4 linked regions of the Diceros bicornis minor genome follow. The protein of the gene in region 1 interacts with the protein of each later gene in a pairwise test. Links are inferred from orthologs where the notes say so. Each region holds a gene or a part of one and is shown on either strand. Other genes may lie near its edges. The genes, in order: SFN, MARK3, CCNH and FOXO4.

Region 1 (6,914 bases):
GGCGCGCTTTGCGCCGCTCACTCCCCCATTGGCCAGTCGGACCCCGGGGGCGGTACCCTGAGCAGCTCCCTCCCGTGATTGGGCGATATCGGCCTCGGGCCCGCCTCCAGCCCGGGGCTGTGAAGGTGGGACCCAGCGCTGCGTCCGCATGCTCCGGCGTGTTGCTGCCGGGAGCGGAGGCGGCGAGCTGGGCTGGTCGGGACTGGTGTCTGCTCCCCGGGGCCCTTCCCACCCAGCTTGCGCCTCCTCCTTTCCGGCCCATTTCCTTTTGTCCCCAGCTCCGAACGCTGGGGGGGCGTTCCCCTCCTCAGATCTGGGCTTTTAATGGCGGCTTCATACCCCCGCCGCAGAGCCTACTCCCCTCCGCTCGGATCTGAGCACCTGACGGGACTATTCCCGGCTTTCAATTCTGGGGTGCTCACTGCTGCTCACTACAGCGTGTCCGTGCGGCCCTGCCCTCAGACCTCACACCTGAGACTTCATTGGTTTCCTGTCCCCTCAGATCTGAGCTCTTCAGCTTTCCGCCCAGCTCGGAGGAGACTTAGAGCCGCTTTGGGCCTCACCCGACCCTCCCGGGACCAGACCAGTCGGCTTGAGACCATCCTGATGGAGAGAGCTTGACCCCCAACCTCTCACCTGGAGTCCCTGGCCCCTGAGTCTTACCTGCGGGTCACTGAGCCAACCTCATGGGAGGTCAGGGCCCTGAATCAGAGGTCCAAAGTCAGGGTTTGTAAATCATACACCAATCCCAGTCCCAGTCCCAGTCCTCTGCCAATAACTGGAAAAGACAGGAGGAGTGTCACAGGGGAACTTTATTGAAAGGAAACATGGTCATACCCAGCAGACATGCTTTCCCTCTCATTCTCAGTCTCGCTCTCACACACAGTCACACACGCACACACCCATGTCCAGCCTCTGCCACACAGTCCAGTTCTCAGCCACAAGGGTGGGACACTCCTCAATTCCTAAGATCCAGACGCGGCAGGAGCAGGAGGGAGTCAAGAGGCGGGAAGAAGTGGCCCGGTTCACGGGTGGAGGTCTCGAGGAAGGGGGTGCAGAGAGCAGAGGTGGGTGGGATGCCCAGTGGTTAGGAGCACCCCACAGCTGCAAGAAGAGTGGGGTCCTCTGGCTCCAGGTGACCTCAGCTCTGCTGAGCCCTCTCTATGGAGCCTTTCTGAGCTGGAGCAGAGCATTTGGGGAGAAGGGTTGGGCCTCCCACCCCATACTAGTCCTCTCTGCAGGGGGGTGGGGGACTGGAGAGGGCAGGGCAGGGCCGGGAGGGTTGCAGGCTTGGCTCAGCTCTGGGGCTCCTCGGGAGCCTCGCCGCCCTCTTCCCCAGCGTTGTCGGCCGTCCACAGTGTCAGGTTGTCTCGCAGCAGCTGCATGATGAGGGTGCTGTCTTTGTAGGAGTCCTCGCTGAGGGTGTGCAGGTCAGCCATGGCCTCGTCGAAGGTGGTCTTGGCCAGTGAGATGGCCTCCTCAGGGCTGTTGGCGATCTCGTAGTGGAAGACAGAAAAGTTCAGGGCCAGGCCCAGACGGATGGGGTTGGTGGGCGGCATCTCCTTCTTGCTGATGTCCATGGCCTCCTGGTAGGCCGACCGGGCTGAGTCAATGATGCGCTTCTTGTTGTCACCGGTGGCCACCTCGGCCAGGTAGCGGTAGTAGTCGCCCTTCATTTTCAGGTAGAAGACCCGGCTTTCAGCATCACCGGCCTTCTTGATGAGGTGGGTGTCCAGCAGGCTCAGCACGGTGTCACACACGCCCCGGAGCTCGGTCTCCACCTTCTCCCGGTACTCTCGCACCTCCGGGCCCTTCTCTTCCGAGCCCTCCTCATTGCCTTTCTGCTCGATACTGGACAGGACTCTCCAGGCAGCCCTCTGGCCACCCACCACATTCTTGTAGGCCACTGAGAGCAGGTTTCGCTCTTCGCAGGATAGCTCCTCACCCTTTTCCACGGCGCTCTTCATGAAGGCTGCCATGTCCTCATAGCGTTCGGCCTGCTCTGCCAACTTGGCCTTCTGGATCAGACTGGCTCTCTGCATGGCTCTGGGGACAGACAGACAGGCGGCGGGCTAACTGGCTGCCTCGGGACCAATGCCGGACTCTGTGCCTCTCTTGCTCTCTGCCTGCCTTTTGGCTGGATGGCCTGGCCCACAGAAGGGTGGGGAGGGGCAGAGGGCGGGACTGGGGCCCAGGACCTGCCTCCCTCGCCTCTTCTCCCCACACCCTTTCCGGCTCTTCCTTAAAGGTAAAAGGGCTGGGATGTGGGGGTGAGTCATCAGGACAGTCAGCAGGAGAAATCTGGGCGTTGGCCCCACCTGCACAGGCACCTTTCCAGGCTCCAGGCTGCCCCCTCTTGTTCAGGGCTTCTATTACATGGGTGCCCACGTTAGGCAGCTGCGCCAGTTTCTCAAATCAGATCCTCCTTCACGGTGTCCTTCCAGGGGCTAAGGATGGCTTCAGCCACCTGGCTGCTTCAGCCTAGGCAGAGCCCATAAAGCCAGGTGCAGGAGGATGGGTTCCTAATCCTGCCATGTACGTTTCCCTGCTTGGTCCAGGTGAGCTAATTTATGTTTAGGCAGGGCTGTACAGTTTCCCAAGCACTTTCGTATCCATGATCTAATTTAATCCCTACTACATCCCTGTGAGGTGGGCTGGACTGTGGCTACTACCCCCACTTTAGAGATGGGAATACTAAGGCTCAGAGAGGGATGAGATTTGCTCAAGGTCATACAGCTAAAGTTCCCCTGCATCCTACTTCCTTTGGTCTCTCTCCCATCGAGGTCTCTGATTTGTGAGCTCCAGGCTGGATTTAGAAGTGAAATCCAAGCTTCTTCAGAGTCTACCTAAAATGGTTCCATCCCCCAGTCCTTACTCCCCCTCAGGGTCCTGTCCCTTCTGAGCTCCCAGACTGCGCAGGTGGCAGCTTCTGGGTGCCACTTAATGAGGAGTTTAACGAGCGGCCTCTGACGCTCCAGCCCAGCCTTTGTAATTAGTCACCCAGTAGGTTTGTTGGACACCTTCCCCATCGCAGCACAGCACAATTTTCCCTTTCAAGTTGGTGGCCTGTTGCCACTTGTTTGAGGACTTATCCTCTAGCTCTCCACGCCTGGTCACCTGCCCGCTTCAAGCTGCCTGCCATCATGTATCAGTGGGGCTCACAGAGGGTGGGGGCCCGGCTTGCTGGCTGTCCCACTTTCCTGCCTGACTCAGCCGGCCCTCTGTCAGAGGCTGAAAGCAGGCCACCTGGGTGCTCAGCCCAGTTTGGTTCCCCAGGGGGGACACGAGCAACCTGAGGAGAAAGACAGGACTGAGGAAAAGGAGGTGGCGGTGACACATACCATTTTGTTTTATGGGGCAGCAGTCCCAGCTGAGTGCTGTCTCCTACGGCCTGCCTCTCACAAGTTTCCCTGTCCCTTCCCTTTGACCATGACCCCACCTCTGACCCCTGGCAGAGGCCTCAGAGATGGAAACTTCTCTGTTGCCAACCATCTGTCCCTGATCGCTGGGGCGCTGTCCTCCTGTCAGCGGAGTTTCACCCGAAGGTGGTGGTACTGCACCTATGAGAGTGGGTTCCTGCTTATCTGCCCCACCCCTAGCCAAAGCTCAGATGGGGCTCAGGGGTGGGGCTCACCTCACTGGATCCAGCCAGCTTAATCCTGGAGCCAGGACCATTTCACAGGCCTGTCCCTCCCTGGGTTGCTCTTGGTGTCTGAACACCCACCCTCCCCTCCTGGAGGGAGGCTTAGGCCAGAACTCAGGCCCAAAGATGAGATCTGCCTCTTTGAAGGAAAAGTAGGGACATTTCTGGGCTGATGCTACAGCTTTTCCAAGGAAGCAGAAGGGATTTTAGGCTTGACACCCCAAAGGCTTTGCTCAAATCAGATCACTGTCACAGAAAATGATGGAAAGGAAGTACACTAAAATAACCAACTCACAGAGCATATTTCCACATAGTGAGACTATGATTTTTTTTTCCTTTTGATTTTCCTATTCTCTTCAAGTTATCAAGGGTGAATATGTATTATTTTTCTGAGAGACAAAATAGCCAAGTATCTTTGGAGTCAGATTGCCTGGGTTCAATTCTTACAAGTTCTTGTGGCCTTGGCCAAGTGACTTAAGCTCTGTGAGTCTCAGTTTTCTTAAGTGTAAAATAGGGCTTGTTGTGAGGATTAAATAAGTTGATGGAAAGCACTTAGAGTGGATGGGAACTATTATTATCATGTGAAAAAAATCCAACCAACTTTACTGGTTTAAACACATGCACTCAGAGCACTAACATGGAGCTGGGTAGGCCTCAGCCAAAGCCCAGACCCTGCCCAGCTGGGTTTCCACAGGGGCGAGAAGATGAATGAACAGTCAGATGCGCTCACTCAGCACTGTCTCCTCCCTGTCTCTCAGACATTCCTCTGACCTATGCAGGCCCAGGGCCCTCAAGGACCTTCCTTTGTACTAGTCACCCAGCCCAGGCTTTCCCAAGTCCTGGGAGAAAGCTGGAGATCCCAGGATACCAGAAACCTAGAGGGCAGGGTCTGGCAGGCCCAGGAATTTTGGAGTTGCTTCTGTCTCTAGGTTGCATTCTCTTCCTACCACTCAAGGCAGGAGACCTGGTGGTAGTTCACGCCACGAGCTCCATGCCCTCAGCACAGCCCTGAGCAACAGAAAAGAAGCCCCTTCCCTCCGCTCTCTCCCCTGCAGAAGCTCAGGGGTGAATCTGGGAGCCAGGCTGCCTGACACCTCCTACCAGCTCTGGCCTGTCGATCCTGACTCAGTTCCTGTCTCAGGCACCTCCCTTTGCCTCCAGGCCTCCATTTCCCAAGCCCAGGAGACCAGGCAGGCAGGAGGCAGCAGGCCCTGGCAGGGCACAGAGTTCCAGAGTCAGCTGCCTGAGTCAGCAGGACAGGAGCTGGGGCTGCAGCCCACAGGGGCTTTCCTTATCCTGCCTGCGACCTCCCTACCCTTCTCTATAACATCCATCCTACCAGGAAGCGCAAGGCCTCTGGTCCCATAGACAACCAATCTGTCGTTTTTTTTTTTTTTGAGGACGATTGGCCCTGTGCTACCATCTGTTGCCAATCTTCCTCTTTTTCTTTTTTTCTCCCCAAAGCCCCAGTACATAGTTGTATATCATAGTTGTGGAGTTGTAGCTCTTCTATACGGGACACCGCCTCAACATGGCTTGATGAGCAGTGAGTAGGTCCACGCCCAGGATCAGAACCAGCGAACCCCAGGCCACCAAAGCAGAATGCAAGAACTTAACTGCTATGCCACTGGGCCGGCCCCCAACCAATCCTTCTTGACTGGTAATAACAGGCTTAGAATGGTTGTGGCACAGAGAAGACAGCAACCAGTTGCTATCTATCTCCCCTGAGAACAGAGGACAGGGCTCTGACTGTAGCAGCAGGGACTCTGGTTAGATTCCAGAAAGAACTTCCTAGGAAATTTTTCAGTCTTGGAATGATCAAATTAAACAGGTGACTGGAGGAAGCTATGGCACCTTCTCCCCCTGGTTAGTTGTGAACAAGGGTTCAATTATCCAGCTAAGAGCTCACTCTACTAATTACCTTTGGGAGGGGATATTAGACTACTTTTAAGTGATTCAGCTATCCTGAGTCTTATTCCCCTCAAGGCACTGCTGTTTTGAGTATCCTACATCTCCTAGACCAGTCTGGTCTAGGACATATTGTGGAATTTTTGGAAAGAGAATGGAATGTCAGGCTGAGACTGCATGGCAGCTCTGTTATCAGGCCTTGGGCAGGTCCCTTCCTGCTTCTGGGCCTCAGTTTCCCATCACTACAACAAGGAGGCTAGCACAGATCTTGTCTAAGCCCCTGCTGCCTATGAAGGACATTCTCTAACCTTAGGGTTTCTCCCTCTGAGAGCCCCTCGTCCTGAAGCAGCTGTATTCATTCCTTGGGTAATGCAGAAGGGTCAGAGGCCAGGGCAGAGATCAGGTTCAAATCCTGCTGCTCTCTCGGCTGGGAGACCTGGAGCAATTCCTGCGCCCTCCTTGAGCCTCAGTTCCCTCATCTGTAAAAAGGCTGACATCACCTTCCTCACAGGTTTAGGTGAGAAAATGGGCCTGGCACTTGGCCAGACCTTGCTAAATGGCCACTATGATGATTTTTTAGCTCTTAGCACTCTGCGTATCTCCATGTGCGGTGGCAGCCGGGGAGAGGGAAGGTTTCCATGAGATTGTTACCCTGGGCTGGGCTCAGTTCAGGGGTGTGACAGTCCTAGCCTGGAGTTAAACCCTCTCTCCCAGCCTGGGCTGGGACCTGAGAGAGTTCAGAGGTCAGCTAAGGCCTGAAGGTCTCTGGAACTGAGACCAGTTCTGGAGGGGCAGAGTGAAGAGGACGCTGGCCACTCCTCCTGTGTCACCTCTGGCTTTGTCATGCATCTTTTTTTTAAATCTTCAGAACAGCACTGACCAGCTGGAACAAAGCTGGCAGTGAGGGTGAGCCAGATGTTCTTCTGCACCCTCATCACAGGCCCCACCCCTGGGCCCAAAGTAAAGGTGGCACCAGACAGCCAAGGGTATGGCAAGAAGAGGGAAATCTTTATTTTGGTTAAAAAAGGTACAGGACAGCAGACAAGCACCCCCAGTCGTGGGCTCAGTGGAGGTTCCTAGGCCCGACCCGGTTTCCTTTAGTTCCTCTGAAGAACACAGGGCTGTCAGAGCTCCCTCAGTGCTCGGAGCACAGAGTACAAGCATCCTCCTCGCGTCCTACCTACTCCGGGTGAGGGGGGAAGGGACCGTGGGAACAGCGTCAAACCAGTTGTGCTTAGAACAGTCACCAAACTTGTTCAGCAGCGTCAACAACCATCAACACCCCAGACGGCTCCTGAAGAAACCTGCTCAGCTCGACTGTGGCTATGCCTGATTCTGGGGGGGCAGGCTGTAAGGCAAGATT
Region 2 (8,036 bases), on another chromosome or scaffold:
ACATAAGCTTTTGAGAAACAGCCTGGTACAAAAAAGCGGAGGGAACTGAGTTGGAGATCTGGGGCCTAGGAGAAGCTCTGCAATAGTGGTCAAAAGCAGCTACTGTCACCTCTCTGAGCCTCAGCAACCTTATTAGGTCAGATTGTTTGACTAGTCCTTTTGAGTCATAAAATGATTTGAGAACAGTATATCAGACCCATCAGCTAAAGGTGGATATTCACATTTGGATATCAAACAAATGAAAACAGAGCAGTGTAGGGCCGGCCCCGTGGCTTAGCAGTTAAGTGCGCGTGCTCTGCTGCTGGCAGCCCAGGTTCGGATCCCGGCGCGCACCCACGCACCGCTTCTCCGGCCACGCTGAGGCCGCGTCCCACATACAGCAACTAGAAGGACGTGCAACTATGACATACAACTATCTACTGGGGCTTTGGGGGAAAAATAAATAAATAAAATTAAAAAAAAAAATAAAAACACCCACTATCAAATATTCATTAAAAAAAAAGAAAACAGAGCAGTGTACTAGGATGAAGCTAATATTCCTGTTGCAAATTATCTGCCTTTTATTATTCTTGATCTACAAGCAACATGCTTATCACAATTATATATCATTATTTAAAATTTAAGTAAGATTCCTAGGGTAAGCAAAATGGAAAGTCTTTTTACAACATAGAAAGACAAAGCTGTTATAGTCATAATAGCCAAAAGGTCCATCAACTGGTGAATGGATTAAAAAAACCATGGTACAACCAAACAATGAACTACTGACTACTTAGCAATAAAAAGGAATGAACTACTGATACACACACAATCATCAATAAATCTCAAAAGTATGATGCTAAGTGAAAGATGCCAGACACAAGATTATATATGATTCGTTTCCAATTATATAACATTCTAGAAAAGGTAAAACTATAGGGACAGATAACAGATCAGTGGTTGCTAGGGGAAGGGAGAGAGGATTGACTGGTAAAGGGGCCACAAGGGACCTTTTCGAGCAATGAAAATGTTCTATATCTTGACTGTGATGATGTCAAAACTCATCAAACTGTACACTTCAAGAGTCTATGTTCTATCTCAATAAACTTGACCTTAACAAAAGAGTTGCTGAACAGACTGAGAGCTCCCATTCATTCTTGTACCCTCACCACACAACTGGCAGGAAGTCTAATACCTAGTTCAGTAATGATAGGTAAATAATACGGTATATGCCAAATGTGTAACACTGACACAAGGGCATCACACTGTGAAAGACATGCAACTACTCCCAGAACATGCCAATACCAGGGTTAAAAATGGAATAGGGCATGGTGAATTAATGCAATGAAGTGCCACAAACCTCTGATTTTAACAGTCAAAAATTCCATTTTAAATACATTCCATGAGAATAAAGGCACACTCCATACCCTACGTTGTTTTTAAAGAATAAAGTTAGTAATTTCTAATGACACACAAAAAGATTACAATGTTAATTCAACAAATTCTCCAGAGAACAAGGTAAAGACCCATTGGTGTAAATCCTTTATTATTACAAATCCGCTATGACTGTTTTTAGCTTCAGTTTATTTAGGGAGTATGGAGCTCCTGCTCTGGTTCAAGATTTTGCTTCTCTGAATGAAAGTCAATGATCAAAGCTAAGCAATTCACTTTTTTGCTTGCTCTACTCTACAGGACAGTCAAAGAACAGGAAAACGACAGGTCAGAAATAGGTTCTTCAAAAAGTCTATAAGAAAATGAGTTGGCTGACTCACCTAGTCTACAATTTTCTATTACTCACTCTTTACGTAATTTTCTAGCCCATCTGAGGTAAAGGCACATACAGCACTGTACTACTTACTGACCACGTTAAAGAGCATTAAGTACTATACATCAATTTACTATAAGGATGCTTTAGACCAAGGCTTACATAAACACATTAAATCACCTAATAACTATCCAGCAAACAAGTGGCATTTTGAAGATTAAAATGAAGGTATTTGATACCACTAGCCCACAATGTCTCAGGCCGTCACTGAAAGCATGAAAACAGGCAGAGCAAGGAAGTTTTTCCTAAGTGATGGCATTTTCTTGCCAGGAATTACCTCATAACATTTATAATGAAAAGGCAGTGAAGTTTCTTTACAAGTTACTTTCTACATGTTTTACAGAAGATAACTCACAGCTAGATTGGAACAGTTCTGAACCTAGTGCTAGAGAAGAGTTAAGAAAGCACTTGGACAGTCAATATTTCTCCAATGGAATTTCTACTACATGTTTTCATTCCCTAAAAATGCTGTTCCTGGCCTTTTTGAAAGGTTTACATGAACAAAATCAAAGGTTCCTTTTAAAGAATCATAGGATGTGAGCGCTGGAAGGGACCTAAGAGCTCATCTAAGCCAACCTCTTTTCAGGAAGGAGGAAAGCTAAGCCAGAGCGTGTGTCCCTCAACTAGGCAGCGAGTGGCAGGGCAGCCTTACTACACGTCTTCCTTTCAAAAATGCTTAACTGACTCCTTCAAAATAGATTCGTACAGAACGAAGCTACTCTTCAATGAAGTTTGCGCTCTCTCAGAGAACTTCTCTTCTGAATAGCTTCGGAGTTCCGTCTAAGGGGCCGCAAAGACTCCTCAGTGGGCACTTAGTTTTAGTGACTGTCATTTTAAAGAACGAGGCATAAAGGACAGTCCACTTGACCCAATCACTTTTAATCAGCACCACGAACATGTTTTTAATCTCACAACCTCTCAAGAGCTGCCTGCCCAACTCAGAAGGAGAGTTTGGTGCAATAAGCACTAAACACTGCACAGCTCGGGCACACAACCCCACTGCGCGGCACCCCAGAGCCCCAAACACTGATAGCAACGCCGCGACCCGCAGGCTCTGTTCACAAACCAGACCCGGCGCAACCCCGCATGCACGTCCCCGGCCCGCACCGGCGGCCGGACGGCTGCCCCCTCCAAGAAACGGTCCCCCCAGGCGCCTCCGGCCTGCCCACTACCTTCAGAGTGCTCGGGGCTGGGGGACCCGACTGCAAAGGCTGCTGTCGTGCTCCGCCCGGGGAGTCCACGCGAACGCCCAGGCTACTTACGTTCTCAGTGTCTCGTTCATTCACCGTGGGCAGCGGAGTCCTAGTGGACATCTTACTTCCCTCACTTGTGCACAACGCGAGAGTGAAACAACGGCGGCCCTGGGGCCGGCACGGCGGCGTCGAGCGCCGGCGGTCCTGGAGCGCCGCCTCGGGAGGGCGGCTCCCCTCCCCCACGGCCGTCTAGATTCCGGGCCGGGCCCGGGCCGTCCCCCGGCGGGTCCCGGGGCTCATGCTCCCCCGGCCCCGGCGGCCGCGCCGAGGAGCCCCGCGGGCGGCGGTGGCGGGGCCCGGGCGGCGGCGGCAGGCTGCGGGTCGGCCCGCCGGCGTCCCCGAGCCTCAGGGCGCCCCGCGGGCCCGGACCGCCTGGCCTTCTCCTCTGCTCCCGCCCGTCGCGCCGCGGATTTCAACGCCGGGGCCTCCACAGAGCGCCGCTGGAGGCCCCTGAAGAGGAGGAGGATGTGGAGGAGGTGGAGCGCAAGACAGGCCGCCGCGGGCTGCGGGCGCCGACCATGGAGGGGGCTGCGGAGGCGGCGCCTGCGCCCGGCTACTCTTCTCCCTCTGGCTCGCTTTCAGCCTCAGCCTCCGCCCGGTAACAAGCGCCGCCGCCGCCTCTCCCGGCACCTCAGAGCCTCACAGACCCAAGATGGCCGCCCCTCGGCTTCCTCTGCTGCCTCCGGATGCCGGAAGTGACGGCACCCCGCCTCCCGGAGTTCGGCCAATCAGCGCAGCCCGAGGAAGCCGGCCCAGCTGTTGTTGCTAGGGGCGACTCGGTCCAGTCCGGGGCCAAGGGGGCGGAGCCCAGGGCCCGGAAGGGATGGCTAGTCGCCCCCGAAGGCCGGGTTGGCTGGATCCCAGCGTTCCGGGCTCGCGGACGCTTCCGAAAAAGCCGGCAAACGGCCCTGGGCGGCGGCCTGAGTCCCACTGCTGGGTTGGCATTATACAGTGTTGATCGAGCGCCTGCTCAGGTGTGCACAACCTGAGGTGGCATGCCCGAGACCGCGCTGCACCGAATCCAGCCACGGCAGCAATTATAGGGTCGGGGCTGCGGGGAGGCCGGGTTCCTGTATCATTGACAGTGACCCGGGAGTTGAGGACTCAGTCACCCTTCCTGCCTCCGGCTCTGAGCAGCCGGGGGCTGGACTCGGCATCCCGAAGGCAGCAAGCGTGTCCTGCCCTTGAGGAGCTCGCCGTTAGGAGGGAGATGGACTGGGACCCAGCTAAATGCCATCCGGAAGGAAGAGTGCTATAAGGAGGCTTGGAGGGGCGAGGCAAAGCTCTAGAAACCCCCAGGGACCAGTTCCTAAATGCCCATAGTTCATTTATAACAAGGCTCTTCTTACTTATCCAGCAGCATGTAGCTGCTGGAGGATTGGAAGCATCCCTGGGTCCTAGCCTAGGGCCAAGTTAAGTGGACGCTTGCAGCCTGGGACACTGGAAATGCTACCTTCCCTGGAAGGCTTCCTTGTCCACTCTCCTCTGCATATGTCCGATGGTCCTACCCAGAGCCTGTCCATTGGTGCAGGATTCTGAGGAAGGAGAGCAGTACGTGCTAGAGTAACGTGAACTGTTACTGAGAGTCTACTTTGTGGGTACATTACATTTGTTACCTCATTTAAGCCTCATGGTAAGATGGGCAAACACACCTTGTTATCTAGTCTAGACAGGTGACAGCAAATTGACCAAAGTACCCAAGTTGGTTAGCCACAGAGCTGGGATTTGAACCATATCCTAAAACTTCCGTAACAAATAAGGCCTTGCAGTGGGTATGTCTTGCTTTTCTTTTTCTATTTTTATTTTTTTCCCTTTTGATCCCCCAGCATATGAACCGTCTTGTTACAGCTGGGACAGTTCCTGCTCTGTGAGACATATATGTCTTTAAACACCAGAATCATTCCCAGAGAGCGCAGATACTCCCAACATAAAAACATGTGAGGACTGAGATGTTTCTATCTCACCCTCTCAGGCAAGTGTTCACTGGGCCAAGGGCAGGCCTGTTTAAAATGTTACTTTCTTTGTCCCTCTCTAGCCAAGCAGAGGTGGTTGAATTCTTATTAGTTAAATGTGTGCTTCACACAGTTCAACTGAAATGTGGGTGAGCACAAGACTGTGAGAGTCCCAGCGGGGGCATTTATCCCAACATGGAGGATTGGGTCAGGGCTTCCTGGAAGAGAGGTGTTTATGCTGAGTCTAAAAGCATAAGTAGAGTTAGCCAGGTAAGGATGGGTGGGAAGGCATTCCAAGCAGAAGGACAGCCTGTACAGGGGCACAGAGATGAGGAAGAACACGGTGGGTTTGGGTAAATGTCAAGAGAGCAAGAGGTCAGCCTGGAGGGGTAGGCAGTAGCCAGGCCAAGTTTGGACATAGCATGGCATGCGATTCTGCATCCTGATGACAGGAATGTCAACTAGGTTACCTGGGAAAACACCCAGAGGACCCACAAAAGGGTTTTAGCCTTGGGCAGGAGCTGAGAGAAAGCGTTTGGACGATTCAGAACATTCCATATTGGCCATAAGTAGCTAGGGGATGAAGTTTCTGCCTAGATGCTTCTCTCACTGAAGCAACACATTAAATAATGAGTCAGTGAGTGCCAAAAGGTAGGAAATGAGGCTGACTGGTTTTTTAATTCAAGATGCTTCTGGTTTTCAGAAAGGCTAGAATTAAAGAAACATTTTGAACTTTTCCTTGCACTTATGTCAAATGACATCATGGTACTATAAGGAGCTGGAAATGGGAGGCAAGGCATGTGTGTCACAAGCAAAAAAAGGAGGAGGAGAAGAACAAGGAGAAAAGAAGGGGAAATAAAAGCAAAGCGTTGTTCTGTCTGTAGGACCTTCTGTGGCCCAGAATTATGTACATCTATGGATCTATGGTCTGGAAGGAACAGAAGGGCAAGATGTGGAAGTCGTTCTTTGACTGCCTTCTGTCCTTTTTCATATTCCTTGTTTCCTGTCTTCATATTAAAATAGGTTCTCTCTCAGTCTCCTTAAACTGAAAAGATGTAGCTAGATATGCCATGCTGTGTATGTGCATAGATAGTTCTTACTTTCATGTCAAGAAAAAAAGGTCATCATGAGACATCAGAAGCAGAAGATAATCTAGTCCTACCTTTGCTGCTGTACGACAGAAGAGGAACTGAGCCTCAAAGAGGTGAAGTAACTTGTCTGAAGTTGCACATAATGAGCAGCAGACCAGAATGGGGCCCACATCTCCCAAGCTCCAGATCCATGTCCTTTCTCCATAGCTAGTGTAGGCACATGGTGGGGAGATCTGTTCAGTATCCCACCCCACTCCAGCATCAGAAGGAAAGAATCTTTGAGTACCTGTACTAGCCCCGAGACTGCTCTCCTCCAGACTTCTTATGCAAGAAAAATAAGCACCCATTTGTTTAAGCTATGCCAATTGGGTTGTCTGTTACTTGCAGCTCAGTGCATTCCTAACCAATACCACCATCTCAAGTGGTCAGATCTCCTGACCCCAGGGCCTGTGCTCTCTGCAACAGAGGGTGTGGGACCTGCTGGGACCCAGGAGCCATTCCTCAGTGTGTGTGTTGTAGTGCTTGTGTAATTGACAGACAACAGACAGAGGGCTGAGCACTGAGAATAAACAAAGCCACAGAGAGGAGAAGAGAAGGAACGTGATAATTGTGGGACACCTGAGGTCATCATGCCTAGAGGCAGGGGAAAAGTTGGGGCTGGGCCACGTGTGTCCCCAAGTAGGCCAAAGATGCTTGGAGGATCTGGGAAATATGAAGTCCATTCCAGACTCCACCCCCCAGGCTGCTCCCCAACGTATCAGGTATCAGAGCAGGCTGGCTGCTATTCTTTTAATTCACTACTCTGGTTCCCTTCTTCACCTCAATGGGGCCACTCTTGCCCTCCATGAGGGCCAGCAGGCAGCTTAGGAATTCTCATGTCCAACACTTTGTTCCTGCCATTCTCCTGCCTGGAACGGCTTCCTTATCTATCTGAATTCTCCCTGCTGTTATACAGCCGTGTCATCTTACTTCTTCCATGGAGCTTTCCCCCACTAGCCCCCAGTGAGCTCTCCCTCACTCCCAGCATCTTTGATTTTTACTGCCTGAGTCCATAGTGCATTTACTGAGTTCCAGCTGTGTACCTGGCACTGCACCAGCCACCTATGCTAAGACCACTAACTCTCCAACAGCCTTGTGAGGGAGATGTCAATGGTTTTTATTAAGGACTCATAGTTACCCCTTTATCAGTTCCCATGATGCACTGCATTTTGGGGAAAATGGGGATAGAAAGGGCCATTTGCCCCTGCACTCAATGGCCGCAGGCTATTGAAATGTTCTATTCTCTGATCTGCTGGAGATTATAGATGGAGATCTAGCTCTCGATGCATATGTGTATGACCTTCTGCTGGGTATCATTGCTAGATCCTGAGAGTGTAGCTCTCTGTAGCAGGCCTTCTCTTCTGCCCACTCTTCTCTGAGCTGGGAAAGCCTACTGTTTAGAACCACATCCAAAGGTTTATGGAGACAACAGAAGTGGTAGAGAAGCAGGCTCTGGAGTTTGAACCTTGGATTTGAACCCTGGCTATGACCCTGAATGCTGGGTGATCTTGGGCAAATAACTTCATGTCTTTGAGGCTCAGTTGCTTAATCAGTCAAATGGGAATAATAGTGCCTGCCACCCAGTTGCTGTGGGGATCCAAGAAGATAATGCCCATAGAGCAGCCAGCACATATGTGCAGAGTCCACCATTCTGCAGCAGAGAGGACCTGCCTTCTCGGGCAGCTGCATTTTTCAGTTCTCCCCTGGGATGAGCACTGGACTTGGAGTCTGGAGACATAGGTCAAGACTTATTAGGCCAAAAACGTCTTGGAGTTAGAGAATCACTCCACCTCTCAGGTTTCCTCATCCAACTTCACCTACCTCACTGGGTACTGAGCTCATTATGGGAGGTAACGGATGCAAAAGCCCCTGGTAAGGGGTCCCACAATACAAGGTGTTA
Region 3 (7,945 bases), on another chromosome or scaffold:
CTAAGAAAACACTATGAATAGTTTTGGATTTGATATTTTCAATATACTTCAATTTTTTCAACTATAAAAATGGAGATTTCCTAGAGAGTTTTTCTCTGTTGGGTCGTAAGTTATTCACTCTGTATAACTTTAAAACTTAAGATAGACTTGCACTTACACAGACTTTCATATTTGATCTTCACATCAAACCTGTGAGATAATAAGGAAAAAATTTTATACTCCTTTTTCTCTCTCAGCTTTTTAATTGCATCTTATCTTCTATAAACAAGAATACACACAACAGGAACAATTACAGAGACAGTGTATGTAAACCCATAGAGCCAAAAAGTCTCACTACCTGTTTCTCCTCACCACTGTCCCACCACAGTAAACACACACACACAAACGGGGTCCTCAGAATCACGCGTGAAACTACGAGACAATTGTTTATCCAAAGATAAATTTCAGCTTCTGAAGCTTGTAGGGGAGGATCCTTTTAAACCTGTAAATCGAGGTTTAAAAATTTCTCATGGCAAAAGTTCCAGCTGGGGCCTGTGAGCTCACACGACGCATGGTGCGTTATTTCAAATACGCGTGTGGCAGAGTCGAACAAGCACTAGTCCACATTCCGCTCCCAGCTCTCTCGCTAACTAGCTGAGAACCTGGAGGGAAAGTAATTCAATTTTATTTTTTCTTTCTCTATAAAATGAAGATGTCATGACCTGCCTAGCAGACCTCAACATTCTTTTGACTATGAAATGAGACTTGAAACACTTGGTAAGATATGATATAGGAATTTATAATTTAAGGCATTTATTAAAAATATATAATGTGACAAAAACTCCAATAGATGAATTATACATTTATATAACTAAGGTGCATTTTTGAGTAAAGTGGATAGAGAAAATGATTCACAAATTCAGAAGAGGTAAGATTTCAGAAGTCAGCTAAAAGATATTATACTTCATCACTACCATAACTTACCACAACAGACCTTGGCATTGCTGGCTTAAACACCGAACAGAATTCCAGTAATCTTTTCTCATAGTATTTGCAGAGCGTCATTTCTTCATGAGGCTCAAGAAAGACTGGATCATTTGGAAGAACCTTTAGATCAAGTTAAACAAAAGATCAGTGAGTTAAATAATCTTAACATATTTTTCTCTGTCCAGATCTCCAACCAAAGGGAAATATACTACACCTCATTTTCTCTTTATAACTTTATAGGAAAATAACTTTAGGAAAATATATAATAAACCAAAACTATACCATCATTTCACAACTTCTCCGAATGTCAGCTGGACATTTGCTTCATTATGGTATAAGCAATCATGATGGAGTTTGTGCATACTGCTCACAGGTTTGATGTCATTAATCATCAATCAAAAAGTATACACATTGTCAATGGTTGGAAAGCTTTCAATATCCCTTTCTCAGTCAATCATTAAGTCACACAGGTTCAAGTAAAAATCAACAAGTGTCTCAAGGATAATTCTGACACTTAAAACATTACCTCTTATCCATCTTTGTAAACTGTCTACAGAATACACTAGATGGTTAATAAATACTACAATTTTACAACAAATAGCATTAGGTGCTGTTACTGGTTTAATTACAACTACCAAAAAAAAGGTATGTTGGAGTCCTAATCCCCAGTACCTCAGAATGTGACCTGATTTGGAATAGGGTCTCCGCAGATGTAATTAGTTAAGATGAGGTCATCCTGAGTAGAGTGTGCTCCTAATCCAACACGACTGGTATCCTTATAAGAAGGACACATGAAGATACAAAGACACAGGGAGAACATTATGTAAACATGCAGGTAGAGACCGGAATTATGCTGCCACAAGCAAAGGAACACCTGGGGTTACCAGAAGCTGGAAGAGGAAAGGCAGGATCCTCCCCTACAAGCTTCAGAGAGCTCTGCTCAGCCAACACCTTGATCTCAGACTTCTAGCCTCCAGAACTGTGAAATAATAAATTTCTGTTGTTGTAGGCTACCCAGTTTGTGGTAATTTTTTTACGGCCACGCTAGGAAACTAACACAGGTGTTCATGGCATTGTGGTTTAGAGCAGGAATGCTGCAACTAGATTCCTTGGGTTCAACTCCTGGCCCTGCCACTTACTTGCAACATAGCCTTGAGAAGTTCTTCAACCTGTCTGTACCTCAGGTTCCTCAGCTGTAAAGCGAGAATAATAACAGTATCTACCTCATGGGGTAGTTGTGAGGATTAAATGAGCTAACACTTGCTAAATGCTTAGAATAGTGCCTGGCACACAGCACAATATGTACTATTTTATGTAGAACAGAAATAAAGTGACATGAAATATACGTGACTTAAATGTAAAAGTACCTCATTACCAATAGGTCTGAGACGTGGACTACTCACCCAAGGGAACCTTGTGCTAGAAGGGGTAGTGGAGCTTGTGGGAGATTAAACCGCAGAGGTGGGAGCTATAATAGGAAGACTTGGCTGGCAAGCTGTAGTCCAAACCATTTTTAGTCAATTGGTTTGTGCCAACGCTCTCCTGTCTCCCTGCCTCCACCCTGCCCCATCCAATCCATTCACCACTAGGTCACCAGAGGGCTCTCCGAACTGAATCTGATAAGGTTAATTTCCCATTAAAAATCTTTCCAAGACTCCCATCCCTTCATCGTAACTTCCAACTCCTCACTTCCGCTGACAAGTGCCCTGCCCACCTTCTCCAGCCTTTCAGGCACAGGTACTCGGCTTCCGCCACACATGATCGTGAGCCTTCCAGGCACCCGCCCTGAAACTTCTGACCTCCCACTTTGCACCTGGGGCTCTGTCCGCCTGCAGTGTCCGTTCCCCATCTGGAAAGAGCCTTCCCCGACCTTCCCTCTTGACAATGAACGGCTCTCGTCCCGCACTACGTCAGCACCCTAAACGTCTCTTCCTCGCCCCGTGACTGGTTACTTGTCTGTCTGCCCCTCGACGACGGGGGTGGCGTTGTCCGTCTCCACCCACAGCACCTGGCGAGGGGCGCGCCTGTTGACTAAACAGAAGCCCGCACTCCGCGCCGCGGGGGCGGAGGCGGGAGGGAGACCGACGAGCGGCCGGCCCCGGGCGCGGGGCGGGCAGCAGCAGCTCTCAGGCCGGGGCAGGGGGCGGCCGCCGGAGTCCTCACCTTCCCGTTCGCCACCGCTTTGCATTTGAATTTGCGGTTGGCGTCGGCCCGCAGCCGCGCCAGCTGCTCCTCGTTGGCGAAAGTCCAGTGCCGCTTCTGGCTGCTGTTGTGGTACATGGTGAAGTCCGAGACCACGCCCCGGGCGTCCGCAGAGAAAGACCACACACGCCACAACACCGGAGAGTAAAGCACCTAAGCCTCCACCGGGCTCCCGCGGAAGCCGAGGACGTCAGGCCGGCCGGTGCGGGCGCACTGACGTCACAACCACGTGGTACTTCCGTCCGCAGTCGCGTTTCCGGAGCGGACTAGGAGGAGAACATCTCGCGCGTCTGGCTGACCGCCGCCCACGACGCAAGTGGGCGGAGCCTACGGACACGCTCCTCCTTCCTGGGAGCCTTAGCCCTAGCTCCGCCCTTTCCCCCACAAGATTTAAAGGGGAAGCGACAGTCGGGGGGCGTCGGAAAGGGACGTAAATTGAGGCTGTGTGAGGGCTACCATAAACAGTTCACACAGGGTAATCAGAAGTGGGGAAGGGATTTGAGAGAGTGTCAACTTTTCAATAGGGCGTTCAGAGCAGGCCTCACTAAGGTGACGTTTGAGCAAAGACTTGAAAGAGTTGAGGGAGTAGGCCTGTCAGCCAGGTGGGGGTGATCTTGGGGCAGATAGAACAGGCAAGGGCCTAACAAAGAAGCATGCCTGGCTCTTTTAAGAAAGAACATTCCTGGAGCACTAGGAAAAATCTCGGCCTCAGAGACAAGGGAACATGGTTGGAAAACTGGAAGCAGTGCATGAGTATTGTCCTTTGCTGTTCTGCCGATAAAGTGACCCTGTCTATTTTTCTGTGTCTTTTTCTTTCGCCTTCCGTTGATAACTAGCCAATCCTCCTCCTATTTCCATCTCTGAAGCCACGATGTATGGTAGTTTTAGGGTTTTCTTGATATTCCCACCTTCAGTATTGCCCCAAGGGAGCCTTACAATAAGTTGTCATCAATGCTTGAGAGATTTACAATGTTTTTTATTACCAGTACTTTCAAAATTGCATTCGAGATACAAAATTTACATTGATTCCAAAGGCTTTTACCAGTTTTGGTATTTGTCCCATTTAGACATCTTATTTTCCTGTGTATCACACATCAGGTTAGAAAGATGGATTTACCTACAGCAAGTAGTTTTTCTAAAAAAAAAACAGATAAAAAGCAGATAAAGATGATGATACTCCGAGTTTATGTGTTGAAAAGGTCACACAGGTAAAAAGAGGTGGTGGGATATCTCTAACTCTGCTTTCTATGAAAATGTTTTTAGGGGCTTAAGAAAGGGAGAGCTTTTTCTTTTTTGTTTCATTTTGATGGGTGCAGTTGGTAGAGTTTGCCAGAGTTATTTGAATTACTCAAACTTATATACCATTTGTAGTTTATAACTATGGAGATCCAGACACACCTTGAACATCCGTTGGTAATTTGGACTAGTAAATTGGCTAAAGAAAGAGAGATAAAGAGAAAGAGAAAAATGTGATTATGTTAAGGAGGGGCATGACAAGTTATGAGTCCCATGGATTGTGAGCACCCTAAAAGATTGTATAATGGGGAAGAATAATTTAAAAGGAAAAACAAAGGTACAAAAGATAGGCAGGAAAAGAAGTGATTTAGGTAAATGAGTGTATGTATAAAATCTTAGACCTGTGACAGTTATATATACCATTTCAATTCTTTTTATTTTGTTTTCCTGAAAGGCATTTGACAACTTCTTTTGTTTTATGTAAAGGGAAATAAAAATGGGCATTTGGGAGAGATGGCAGAATATGATTTCCACAGAGATAAGAATAAAATTGCTGAGTGTCATAGTTCATTTAGGAAGACAAATATGAAAAACCTGATGTTGCTGGTGTAACTATTTTTTTTTAAACCTTTAACAAATCTTAGTCTTTGAAAATTAACATTAACCATATTTTGGGGATGTAGAAGGAATTGTATCTAAATTAACCATCTACTGACTAAAGTTGTTGCTGATGCCCTAACATTAAGGCTCATATATGATTTCTTCTTATTAAGGTGAGCAGCCCGGATGCTGCATTAGGCAATCTGCCTGAGTGACATTCCCCTGTTCAGCCTGCTAAGCACAAGTTGATTTCTTCTGCTATTTCTACAATGGAAGGCAGACTGTGGACTTAGAACTTGGTGCCTTTGTCTATTTCCATTTCTAGTTCCAACTAAAAAGTGGCAACTGTTCTCTCCACTTTTATTTTATTTATGGAAAAGTTAAAACATAAGGAACAGAGAAAAACGTATTTCAATGATTATCAATACATGACCAATTCCCCTCCACTCCCACCCCACTCTCATTACTTTTAAATCATAATTTCCCTGCTGCTAGATGGAGATGTTTCAAACAAATAAACAAAAAACAAAACAGACAGAATCTTATTAGAAGAGTAATAGGAAAATTCAAAACTTGAAAACAAAGATATTACTATTTCATTAGGCACTACCCAGAAGTGAATGTTAACAGGAAAGATGATAGTTAGTTTTTTAAAGTAAACACAATCTCTTTTATTATGCTGCAGTTGTTAAACTGTGTTAAAGTATGCATTTATAGACAAACTCTAAATTATTATTATTTTTTTTTGCCAAGCAAGATTCACCCTGAGCTAACATCTGTTGCCAGTCTTCCACTCTTTTGTATCTGAGCCATCGCCATAGCATGGACACTGGCAGATGAGTGGTGTAGGTCCGCGCCTGGGAACTGAACCGAAGTGGAGAGCACCAAACTTAACCACTAGGCCACCGGGGCTGGCCCCTAACCTCTAAATATTTTGACTGCCAGCATTACCGTGAAACCGGTCAGAGATTGGTTTGCCGATCAGAGATGAGGTGATGCAGAGCAGATGTCATCAGTTGGTCACCGTGGAAAGGCTCTGGGCTTACCCACATGCTATGCCGGTTTACCCACATGCTATGTCGGTTTCCTATGAGAGTATTAGGAGTTCCTCTCTCTTGCTTTAAGAGAAGCTTCCCTCTTCTTCAGGCTCTGCCCTAGTGATCTTAACGATTTGGGAAAAATAAAGATCAGACTGCCTGATCTTAGGAGTAAAGGAAGAAAAGGGGAGTGAGAAGGGTGAAGGAGTGACCAATAAATATGTATGGAACTTGGAATAATTTTGTAATAATTTATTATGTGGCCTGATTAATTTATAGTTATTTCCCAAACACATCAGTATACTCATATCCACATGGTTTCTGATTTCAGGGCCACAAAGAAGAAAAGGGAGGGGGGAGAATAAATTACATCTGTGCTCACAGAAACACATAGTATCTTTCTTACTTTAAAATCTGACATGAAACTGTACCCCTTCAGCTACTGACATGGGTTTCTGACATTCAAAATATAGCTTTGCAATGATATTCAAAAGCTGTTAGGCCTTTGCAATTCTGTTTGATATGTACAATTAGCATTGGCTCTAAAATCTTTTCCTAGTTGTCAAGTTATGACTAAGAGAAGAAAAGGAGTTGCCTGCAGCAAATACCTAGTTTCTCCAAAACAGAGTTACTACTAAAGGAAAACAAATAAAAAAGAAGAAACAGCATTTACAAAATATCCTTGATCTAAATGTAACCCTCAAAAATTGGGACACTTTTTCTTTTGTCTTAGCACTATTTAAAATAAAGGTGTGAAGATGCTTGACAACATATTGAGGAGCAAATTCTATAAATCCATGTCCAATTCAGCATATTTTACTAAGTCACCACTATACTCAAGTCCTGGTACTAAGTGATAGGTGGTGGTGATGATGGTGATGGGGACATAAAAATGGCTATTTCACAGTTCCTACCGCAGGGGCCTTAGAGTGTAGTAGAATGATTATGACATGCACAAATACAGTCCCCTCTCAATGACAGTAACCTTGTGTAGGGCCCAGTAGGGTACAGAGTAATAAGATTTCTTGTCCCTGAGTGTTGATGCCTGGTACTAATGTAGACAAGACCCTGAGGTGGTTTGAAACAAATAGAACACCCAGAGTCTACTTAATTCAGCCCCAACAGCCATAGTTTAGTCCAAAGGCTTAGTGGCTCTTCTGCTAGCCAGGGGTAGGTGGTAAACCTCAAGAAAATTCCTGTGGGTTTTTTTTTTTTTTTAAATCACTGTTAATCCAAAAAACAGAATTGCCTTGGTTTTGTTACAACCATGATTGGGAGTGATCTGTTACCACCTTATCCTTTTTTAATACCAATTAATCAAGAGTGAAAACCTCTATTATATAAAGTACCACATGATCATTTCCAACACAGTTTTATAGCAGTTTAACAGGATGGAAAGATTTCACTTGTGACTCAGTAGATCTAGTGTTTCAGAGCTCAGGATCTGAAATCAGAATCCCAGCTTTACTACTTGCTACTGTGTATTCCTGGGAAAGTCATTTCAATCTATTTTATTCTGAGTTTCATCCTTTGAATAGTGAAGAAAATAGTTGTAGCTATTTCATAAGGAGGTTGTGAGGATTAAATTAGTTAATGGATGTGAAGATATAGCAGAGTGACTGGCTCCTACAAATTGTTCAGTGAATGTTAGTTATTACTTAGTTGACACATAGAATAGGCTAATTGGAGGATATAATATTTGTGTGAAATTTGAACTTGTTTTTGATGTTGAGAGAGGGGACATTCTAGATGGATGGGATCTGCTTGGGCAAAGTAGAGGGCTGCAAAGTACAAGGTGGATCTAGAGATCAGAAAAGAGCATAGCTTGGCTACTTGGAGAATAAGGTGAATTAGCTGAGATATGAATTAGTAAGAAGATTAGCAAAGGGTCTTGAATGTCAAGC
Region 4 (8,928 bases), on another chromosome or scaffold:
GCTTGACTTCTGCAGCCAAATTTCTTGTACAGTATTTTTAATCTGTTCCACACGGTTTACCCAATCTATATTGTATTGTTTACAGTTTCATGTAATTAGTGTCAAAGTATAAGTGCCCAGGTCATGGATCATGTTGTCCAGTCGGGCAGCCCCCAGCAGTGCCCCCTCACAGTGGCAAGCTCCAAGTACATAATTAATATTTGTTGCCTGATTAGTGGATGGCCCCCGGGTGACGGTGGTGAGGCTCTCCTTGAGGCTCTGTCAGCTCTTGAGGCCTTGGGTATTAGAAGCTATGTGTCCTCCCTTCCTCCCTCACTGCTGGCTGCTGATATTCTGCTAGAGATAAGTCTTTTTTTCCAGGGGCCCAGGGAGCAGAGATTGGCAGCTTCTTGAGCCCCCAGAGCAGCTTATTTCTACTAGTTGCTCCAGGCTAGTTACACCATCCTTTTGTGTGCCCCACCCCCAACCTCCCTTCTCTTTTCTACCTCCTTTCCCCCACTTCCCCTCAGGAATTTGTGCAAAAGATCTCCAACCTTAGGGGCATTTGACCTCCCACATGGAGCTCTTCAGTGTTTAGAAACTCAGGAGGAGCCCAGAAAGGCTTGGAACAACTAGGAAGCTGAGGCTATAGACAGTCAGAAATCACTTCATGTGTTTCTAGATAAGGAGACCCTTTGCCTAGGAAAAGATGCTTAAGTAGCTTCTTGTTCCAGGGCTCTTTAGCCAAAGAACTCTTAGTCTCCCTGGGACCATGCAATAATGGCACTCCAACTACTCTGGCTGCATTAATACTCAGTTCCTTCAAAAAAAAATCACACTTGTCCATCCAACCTGGGCTCTTAGTAACCGAGGACCACAGTGACTTCTGGCACCAAGATTTCCCCCCTTTTTGTCCTCTAACTCTGGGTCTACTGAGAAGGCCCATTCCTTTCCCTACTACTAAATACACATGAGGCCCATTTGTTCATCCCCTCTTCTTTAGGCCTTGGGACTAGTACACGGTACAGCCTCCTACCTGGAGAGGTCAGCTCCCTAGAAGCCTCTAATTCTTACCTGTTGGAAGCGGGGTGACTGCTAATTGCTCCCCAAGCCACCTAAACTAAGCTTTCTTGTTCTAAGTTAGTGCCGCCCCCTGGTGGGGTGGTAGTAACCTTGGCCCATCACTAGGAAAGCCAGTTCAGGAGTGAGGCTTCCCCTCCTGGGGTGGAGTGAGGATGAGGAGTGGGGGTGAGAGCCTTGGAGACCCCAGGCTCATCCTGATTTGGCTTTGCCATCATTTCAATGAAGAGAATTTGGCAGCATGGACTAGCAGAAAGAGCATATGATTTATAGTTAGACCTGAGTTCAAGTCCTTATTGTACTGATATCAGGTGAGTTTCCTAACTTTTCTATACCAGGCTCCTAATATGTAAAATGTGGAATCTCAGAATTGCCGTGAAGATTAATAAAATAAAAAATTTAAAAACTACTTTGTAAACTAAAGAGCCCCATATAAGTGTAAATTAGAAGGAGAGACTACACTCCCACAGCAAAACTAACAACTCATGATTATTTCTCCTACCCTGGAAAATGAACCTAAGGGAAAAGAAAAACAGCTGTGTAGGCTGGGTCCAAGGAGGGGAGCTCTTTATGAGCTGCGACTGTGGCGTGGCAGTCTACCCAGAAATAGTGCCAAGGGTCTCAGTCAGCTGTCCTGTTTTCTGTTCTGCCCAACCCCTAGGATACTGCAGATCTGATCCCTTGATACCTACGGGAAGAACCTCTGCTCACTCAACCCTCTGTACTTCCTTGTATGCTGACCTCACCACCTATGAGGATACAAGATACATCCATAGGGGTTGAAGCTCTCCAGTTTCGTGAATAGAGCCCCATATTTCTCAGGACACATTTTCAGAGCATCTAGTGAGATCTTTTCTCACAGTTTCTTCATGGAAGGCCAAGGGAACTCCCAACCTTGTGCTATGAAGTCAGAGCCCTATCTCTTTTTTTCATGACTAACATTCCTCAACAGTAAAAGAAAACTTTCCTCCCAAACTTGGATAGCTCCTTACAAGGGAGAGTTTCTTGGCATTATAGGGTAAACTGAGCAGGTAGCAGTTCACAGCCTTTTTTTCTTGGTGCATAAGATCAGCTACCTTACCCCATGAAGATCACTCTTCTTCTCTTTTTCCACTCCACTCCCTCTTCTTGGGTACAACAGTACCTCTACCCTGAGGTGTTGGGAGGTAAGCGGGGAATCCAAGTAATCCCACAGGAATGGGAGAAAAGGTGTTGGGGTGGGAGGCGGGGGAGGAGGGCAAGCTAGGCTCCTGTGGGGAATCCACACAGTTCCTGCTGTACATAGGATAAAGACTTCTCTGTGGGAATAAGTGTTTGGGGCAGCCCAAGCCAAAGTGCTGGGAGTGTTGAGCAGTGAGCAGAGAATTCAATTTTCTCCAGGGCAAGGACAGTGTCTTATTCATCTGTGACACTCCAGCATCAAGCACTGAGCGTGGCATATATTATTTCCTAAGCAAATGTTGGTCTAATTGACGACTGAAGGTGAATCTCTGAGGTGAGGGTGTAAAAGGGGCCCCAGAGTAGAAGTAAGGAGGCTAGGGGGCCCAGGGGCAGATAGTATTGGGATGGAGGTAAGGGGGTCATAGTTACCTTCCATCCTGCTGAGCTGTTGCTGTCACCCTTGTCCTTGAAGTAGGGCACAGTGCGGACCATCCACTCATAGATCTGGGCGAGTGTCAGTCGCTTCTCTGGGGCACTTTCAATGGCCTGGCTGATGAGTTCTGCATATGACTGATTTCCCCAGGCATTCCGGCGGGAGCCTCCCTTCCGAGGACCTGTTACAGCCCCCAGGATCCCAGGCTGGGGGCCCCCTGCCGGCTCTGGGAGCCGGGAGGGCAACAGGATCGGCTCTGAGCGCCCCTCCGTGTGTACCTTCTCCCCCAGACCTGGCTCCACCTCGGGCGGCTCGGACGGCTCGGTAGCAAGCTCTGGTCGGGGAAGGGGCCAGGTGCAGGAGCGGGGACGGCTCTGGGGTTCGAAGTCGGGATCGAGGTCTATGATCACGGCAGCCTCTGTGGCTGAATTCTCATTCTCTGGATCCATACGTGGAGTTGGACCTCCGCCGCTCAGCGTTCAGAGGAGCCTGCCACAGTCCCTTACGATGCCTCCCCCCAGGGGGGAAGCACTAAGGGCCAGGAGGCACATTCCTGCCAGTCCTCAGAAAGTCGCGAACTTCCCCCTCGCCCCAAGACGCCAGCCCCCAAGCTGTCCCTTCCACACAGTTCTCGGATCCTCTTCTCGACTACAGCCTGCAGCCTCAAGAGCTCTTTCCGAGACACCACCTGTAACCTCCGCCTAGCGAAGACACTTTTTCTCCAACCTCTCACTCAGCTTCCTGCTCTTTTAAACCTGAGGCACGGTATCCCCTCATACATTGCGCTCCCATCACCGAACGTCTCTTGAGCCGCAGTTCCCTCTCCCTTTTAAGTTGCTGCCCCCCGGACACTCCTCCCAAATTTCCTCCACCCGGATCACTGCCCTCCCCCACGCCCCGCTCCCCCGCGTCACTTGCCCCTCCCCTGACTCCCCCGCCCTCCGCCTCTTCCCTTCCCTCCACTCTTGATAAGGTCCACGTCCCCGCAGCCCCTGGCCCTCTTATTCCCGCACCAATTCCCCTATCAACCCCCCCACCCCCCGCCCCCCGGGTTTCCCTTTTGTTTTGCTCCAAGCAGCAGCCCCCGCCTCACGTCTCTGTTTACCACTCGCCGGGGCAGCCATCTGCGCACGCGCCTGGAGAGGCAGTTGGGAAACTGAGTTCTTCAGTCGTGCCACCCGGTCAGGCCTGAGGACTACATTTCCCGTCCTACTTCGCGGCCAGGAGCCCGATAAGGGCGGCAGGAGAGCGGCGTGGCAGGATATAGGGAGGTGGAACTTTAGTTATTAGAGATCTTCGCGGACTCTTTTTCTTTTTTTAAAAATCATTTTCCTCCTTTCCCCGCTTCCCACCTCCTCTCTTGTGATTCAGGGTCGCCTAGGTGACTGTGTTGAGAGATGCTAGACCTTTCCCTCTTTCAGTTAAAAGAGGGCAAAAGGAAAAAAAATGTGGTATCTACAAGAAACAAAACTGAGAACCAAAGAACTGATTAGAAAAGAGGCTGTATGCATGTTGGGGAGTTGAGTGCTTGTGTAACATAAACAAATGGTTAGCTGATGGTAGCATCTCCCTCAGCCCCTTCAACCTCCCATACGCAGTTCACACTGACAGTGCAGTCGCAGACCAGTTTTCTCCACTGGGTCTTCTGGCCTCCCCTTAAATGTTGATATTCTCTGGGTTCCCGTCTTAGGCAGCTTCACTTCTCATTCAACAGGTCCCAAACTGAACTCGTTTATCTATTCCTGCACCCACACCCCTATCCTCTGGCTACCCTTATCTCTGAATTTGGTTAATGGTTGTCCTGATCTACCCAATCTTCCAAGCTAAACTTACCCTTCACCTTTTCATCTCCCTAACTTCCCACATCCGAATCCCAGTTCAAGACCTTATTTATCACTGGATTAAGTTGCAATATCATCTTTTTTTAAAATAATTTTATTTATTTTTTTTTCCCCCAAAGCCCCAGTAGATAGTTGTATGCCATAGCTGCACATCCTTCCAGTCGCTGTACGTGGGACACAGCCTCAGCATGGCCAGACAAGCGGCGCGTCGGTGCACCTGGGATCCGAACCCGGGCTACCAGCAGCGGAGCGCGTGCACTTAACTACTAAGCCACGGGGCCATCCCTGCAATATCATCTTAATCGGACCTCCTGCCATCAATCTTTTCCCCACTGCAGTTTATGTTCTATGCTGCCAACAAAGTTACCTTTCTAAGAAACTCTGCTCATAACAATAACTAACTAAAATTTATGGAGCACTTATTATGGGCCAGGCACTGTGCTGATTGTTTTGCATACATTAGCTCCTCTACTTCTCAAATCAACCCTGCGAGGTAGGTGCCACTATTATCCCCATTTTATAGATGATGACACTAATGCTCAGAGATTTAGTGACTTGCCCAAAGTCACACAGCTAGGAGGCAGGAGAACTGGGATCATATCACTTATATGTGATCATATAATTTCCCTGCTTAAAACTGCCTTTGATTTTCCCCATTGCCTATGTGATAAAGTTCAAACTCCCTAGCAAGGCATACAGGTCTCCTCAGATTCAGACCACTTCCCACCTTTCCTGCTTCATCTTTCACTGGGCGCACTAAGTTCCAATGAGTCAGAGTTTCACACTATTTCCTGGAAATACCATACCCTTTTATGCCTTTGCCTGCACATCCTGGGATGTCCTCCCTCTCGTCATCCCCTCCCCAAGTCTCTTATTCTGGAACACTCCTATTTAACCATTCCTGTCTCCCTCAGGTGCAGTTAGTTCTCCCTTTTCTGCATTCCCAACCACTTTGTGCAGGCTTATGTTCTATAGCACAGACCATGTTGTATTGTCATTATTTGTTTACATGTATGTCTCTTCTACTAAACTGTGAACTCCTTGAGGGCAGAGACAAGTTTTGTGTATCTCTGTGACCCCAGCTTGGAGTCACAGAGGAGACATTCAATAAATGTTGGTCGAATGAATGGGATCAGGAATCAAATGACATTGCACTTGTACATTCGACAACTTTTTAATAAATGTATCATATGTATTTTCTGCCTGGCCATGTCCCAATTTTCCCTTTAGACAGCAAGCTCCTAGGGGTAGGGACTGTAATTTAACTTGTCTGTACAGTGCCTAGCATTATACCATTTGCAGTGTTGCTTGATACGTGCTCTGTGATGACCAGACCTTCTCCCTGTCAGGAAGGATATCCATACAACCTGGGATTTTTCAAAGGCAGCAGCACATTGGGCCTCCAAAATGATGTTAGTCTGCTTACGGTAACAGAACAAACTTGGTTCTACATATTCCTGCCTCCCTCTACTCCAACATACATTTGTCCTCCATCTGTCATGTAGAGAGTAAACAAAAGACCGTGTATTCCTACCTGAGGTCCAGACTCGAGAGATGGGACATAGTTGCTCACAATGCCTGGCAAACATTTCCTGCATATGCCTCTTCCTCCTGCAGCACAGCCTGGAGTACTTGGTAGGTGCCACAAGAGTGGGGAATTTGGTAGAAGAGAGAGCCTGGTGGGCACTAGGTCACAAGGAGCTCTCTTCTAACTGAAACAGATGTGGTGGCAGATCATGCAGAGCTGCTGAGGCAGGGAAATGGCAGGGTGGGGCAGGCACCTGTCCTGGATTCAGTTATATCTTGCATTGTCTCTCTTTGTGCATTTGTTTGAAAAGGGCCACTTTTCCACCAACTCATGTCCATCGCCTCTTTAAATTTCCAATTCAAAGCTCAAAACTTACGTACTCTTGGAAACTTTCCCCAACTAGCCCAACCTGACAGATCACTTACCTACTTTGCATCTCCTGTACCTCTATGAACTCAGTTTGTATTCTTTAATTTTGTGCTTGTGGTTACATGGCTTTTCATTTCAGGAGGGCATGTTGTCTCCCCCTTATTACTGTGGGAGTGTTAGAATATACATTAGTCAAGAGACAGAGTTAGCAATGTGGCCTTGGAAAATAGAAGAGACACTGGTCAGGAAAGAAGACTAACAGGAGACCCCCAGAAAGCCACTGTAGTCATAAATTATGAACAGATATGGCAGGATATGGGGGGGTGGGGCACAGGCCTTTTTCCCAGTTGCAACCTCTGAGTTTGTGGTCTCAACTAGCTCCCCATTCAACACTTGTTTTTTTCCTCTCGAAGGTCATAGGGGTTTGGCTCTCTTGCCTCTTTCATTGCCACTGCCCACTCTTCTACCTGGGTGCCACCCCCCAAGCCTGCTGCCAAACCGGCTTTATTAATTTGAATTGAGATAGACATTTCCCCGCTTCTTTCTTACCCTGCCCAGCTCTGAAAAACACACAACCTCCACCTGGGGTTTGTATAGGATTTTTGCTAGTGACTACAGGGAAAGATGCAGGAGTTAACAAAAATAACAATGAGAAAGTTCAAGGAATCTCAGAAAGCACCACCTCTGCTTGTCCTTGGTCTTCACAGATGGGTATGGAATGTACATGTTTTTGGTAGCCCTCTTCCATAAGTCCTGCCTTATGTGTTTCTGTGAAAGATTTCTAGTCCTTCTCTTAGAAGCCTGTACCACTCTCCCAACCCTGCTGTTGTTTTAAAAAATCTTTTAAGTTAATAAACATTTTGTAAGAGCCTACTATTTTCCAAACACCAGGCTAGATGCTTTTACATAAAATGCACCTCAGACTAAAGTCCTCAGGTTTAGCCCCAAGAGGATTTGAGTTAGCACCACTACTGAGTTGGAGGCAACTATCATTCCTTTCTGGACCCTAAAAGTCAGTCTGATGTAGTGAAAAGCACTAGGTTGAGTCAGGAGAGCTGAGTCCTTGTCATAGCTCTGTCACTAAATAATTGAATAATGACAATAATTACACTACTATTAATAAGTAACATTTATGGGTTTTCATATGTGTTAGGCACTGTGCTAAGAGTTTTACATGGATTATCCGATTTAATCCACACAGTAAGCATGTAAGTTAAATGCTATTACTATTTTCATTTCACAGAAGAAAATGAGACCTAGAGAGGGTAAAGGAACCTACTTAAGGTCTGGAGTTGCTAAGTGGTAGAGCAGAGGTATAAATCCAGGCAGTCTTGACTCCAGAGCCTACACAAGTCAATTCACCTCTTCCGGCTTTGCAAAATGAGAATGTTGTATTGGATAACCTCTAAAATCCTATTTCCTATGATCTTCAACCAGACCCCAGATTGCCCTTTTGGCCGTAGGCTACCCTGAGCTTTCACTTCACACCCACACAAATTCGGTCCTGGCTCCCTGCAGGAACAAGGTCAAAAAGCTGCATCTCTCAGGTTTGGGGCTCGCCTGAACTGACCTTTGAGCCTCCTCTTTAACTCTTCCTGCAGGCCTCTATGGTTCCAACCTTTGAAAGTCCTACTGGCATGATATTTACTAGAATTATTAACCAAAGAGTTTCCAATACAAGAAAACGTGCTTATATTTTAAAGTTACGTGAAAAGAGCAGGATGCAATACTTTATGTGCCGTATGCTCATAATTTTATTTAAAACACATTGAGAAAAGATAGGAAATGCCAAAAAGTGTTAACAATTGTTATCTTTTTTCTTTTTACTTTCTTATATTTTTCCAATTTACTATGAATGTGTATAACTTTTAAACTGGGAAATATGCTTTATATTTTGCCTCTTTCTATAAGGGATTTGAGGCACTTTACCATAATAAGAGTACAAATGTCCTAAGATTATAGGAATAGAACATCAGGGGCCGGCCTGGTGGCATAGTGGTTAAGTTCCTGTGGTCCGCTTCGGCAGCCCAGGGTTTGCAGGTTCGAATCCCAGATGTGGACCTATGCACTGCTCATCAAGCCGTGCTGTGGTGGCGTCCCACATACAAAATAGAGGAAGATGGGCACAGATGTCAGCTCAGGGCCAATCTTCCTCACCAAAAAAAAAAGAAAGAAAGAAAAAAGAAAAGAAGAAGAACATCAGAGGCATGGAAAGGAAGAGGGAGCTAATGTGCGATGGCTGAACCTTAAATTCACCTTTTGGGGCAGCCAGGGAAAAGGGAGAACAGAGTAAAATACACAATTATTGTTATCAGAAGGAAAGACACATAGCCGTTCCTCGAGAGAGAGAGATTTTCCTGTCACTAAATTCTTTTCTCCCCCAACTGAAAAGACAGGGCTACAGCAAACAAAAATTTTTGATAAAACAAAACGTTTATAGTCCCCTTGCCCTCATACAATTTTCATCTTTGCCTATCAGCTTTCAGTCCTTGTCCACAGACACAAATAATTTTACATGGCTGCAATTAGAGTCTATA

What was found.
Region 2: the proteins of SFN (region 1) and MARK3 interact in binary tests that used the Homo sapiens proteins (3 or more experiments, as listed by UniProt). The link is inferred for Diceros bicornis minor from reciprocal best matches to the Homo sapiens genes SFN and MARK3.
Region 3: the proteins of SFN (region 1) and CCNH interact in binary tests that used the Homo sapiens proteins (3 or more experiments, as listed by UniProt). The two-hybrid records come from large-scale screens. The link is inferred for Diceros bicornis minor from reciprocal best matches to the Homo sapiens genes SFN and CCNH.
Region 4: the proteins of SFN (region 1) and FOXO4 interact in binary tests that used the Homo sapiens proteins (3 or more experiments, as listed by UniProt). The link is inferred for Diceros bicornis minor from reciprocal best matches to the Homo sapiens genes SFN and FOXO4.

What each region holds. Positions count from the first base shown.
Region 1 is NC_080752.1:42,625,426-42,632,339, reverse strand, and holds SFN (14-3-3 protein sigma), read right to left. Parts: upstream 2,131-6,914; 5' UTR 2,043-2,130; coding exon 1,296-2,042; 3' UTR 795-1,295; downstream 1-794. UniProt on the Homo sapiens protein: Adapter protein implicated in the regulation of a large spectrum of both general and specialized signaling pathways. Binds to a large number of partners, usually by recognition of a phosphoserine or phosphothreonine motif.
Region 2 is NC_080763.1:48,047,051-48,055,086, reverse strand, and holds the start of MARK3 (MAP/microtubule affinity-regulating kinase 3), read right to left. Parts: upstream 3,713-8,036; 5' UTR 3,115-3,712; coding exon 3,064-3,114; intron 1-3,063. UniProt on the Homo sapiens protein: Serine/threonine-protein kinase. Involved in the specific phosphorylation of microtubule-associated proteins for MAP2 and MAP4. Phosphorylates the microtubule-associated protein MAPT/TAU. Phosphorylates CDC25C on 'Ser-216'.
Region 3 is NC_080740.1:14,503,351-14,511,295, forward strand, and holds the start of CCNH (cyclin-H), read right to left. Parts: upstream 3,373-7,945; 5' UTR 3,247-3,372; coding exon 3,130-3,246; intron 1,087-3,129; coding exon 964-1,086; intron 1-963. UniProt on the Homo sapiens protein: Regulates CDK7, the catalytic subunit of the CDK-activating kinase (CAK) enzymatic complex. CAK activates the cyclin-associated kinases CDK1, CDK2, CDK4 and CDK6 by threonine phosphorylation.
Region 4 is NC_080781.1:64,409,005-64,417,932, reverse strand, and holds the start of FOXO4 (forkhead box protein O4), read right to left. Parts: upstream 3,587-8,928; 5' UTR 3,103-3,586; coding exon 2,650-3,102; intron 1-2,649. UniProt on the Homo sapiens protein: Transcription factor involved in the regulation of the insulin signaling pathway. Binds to insulin-response elements (IREs) and can activate transcription of IGFBP1.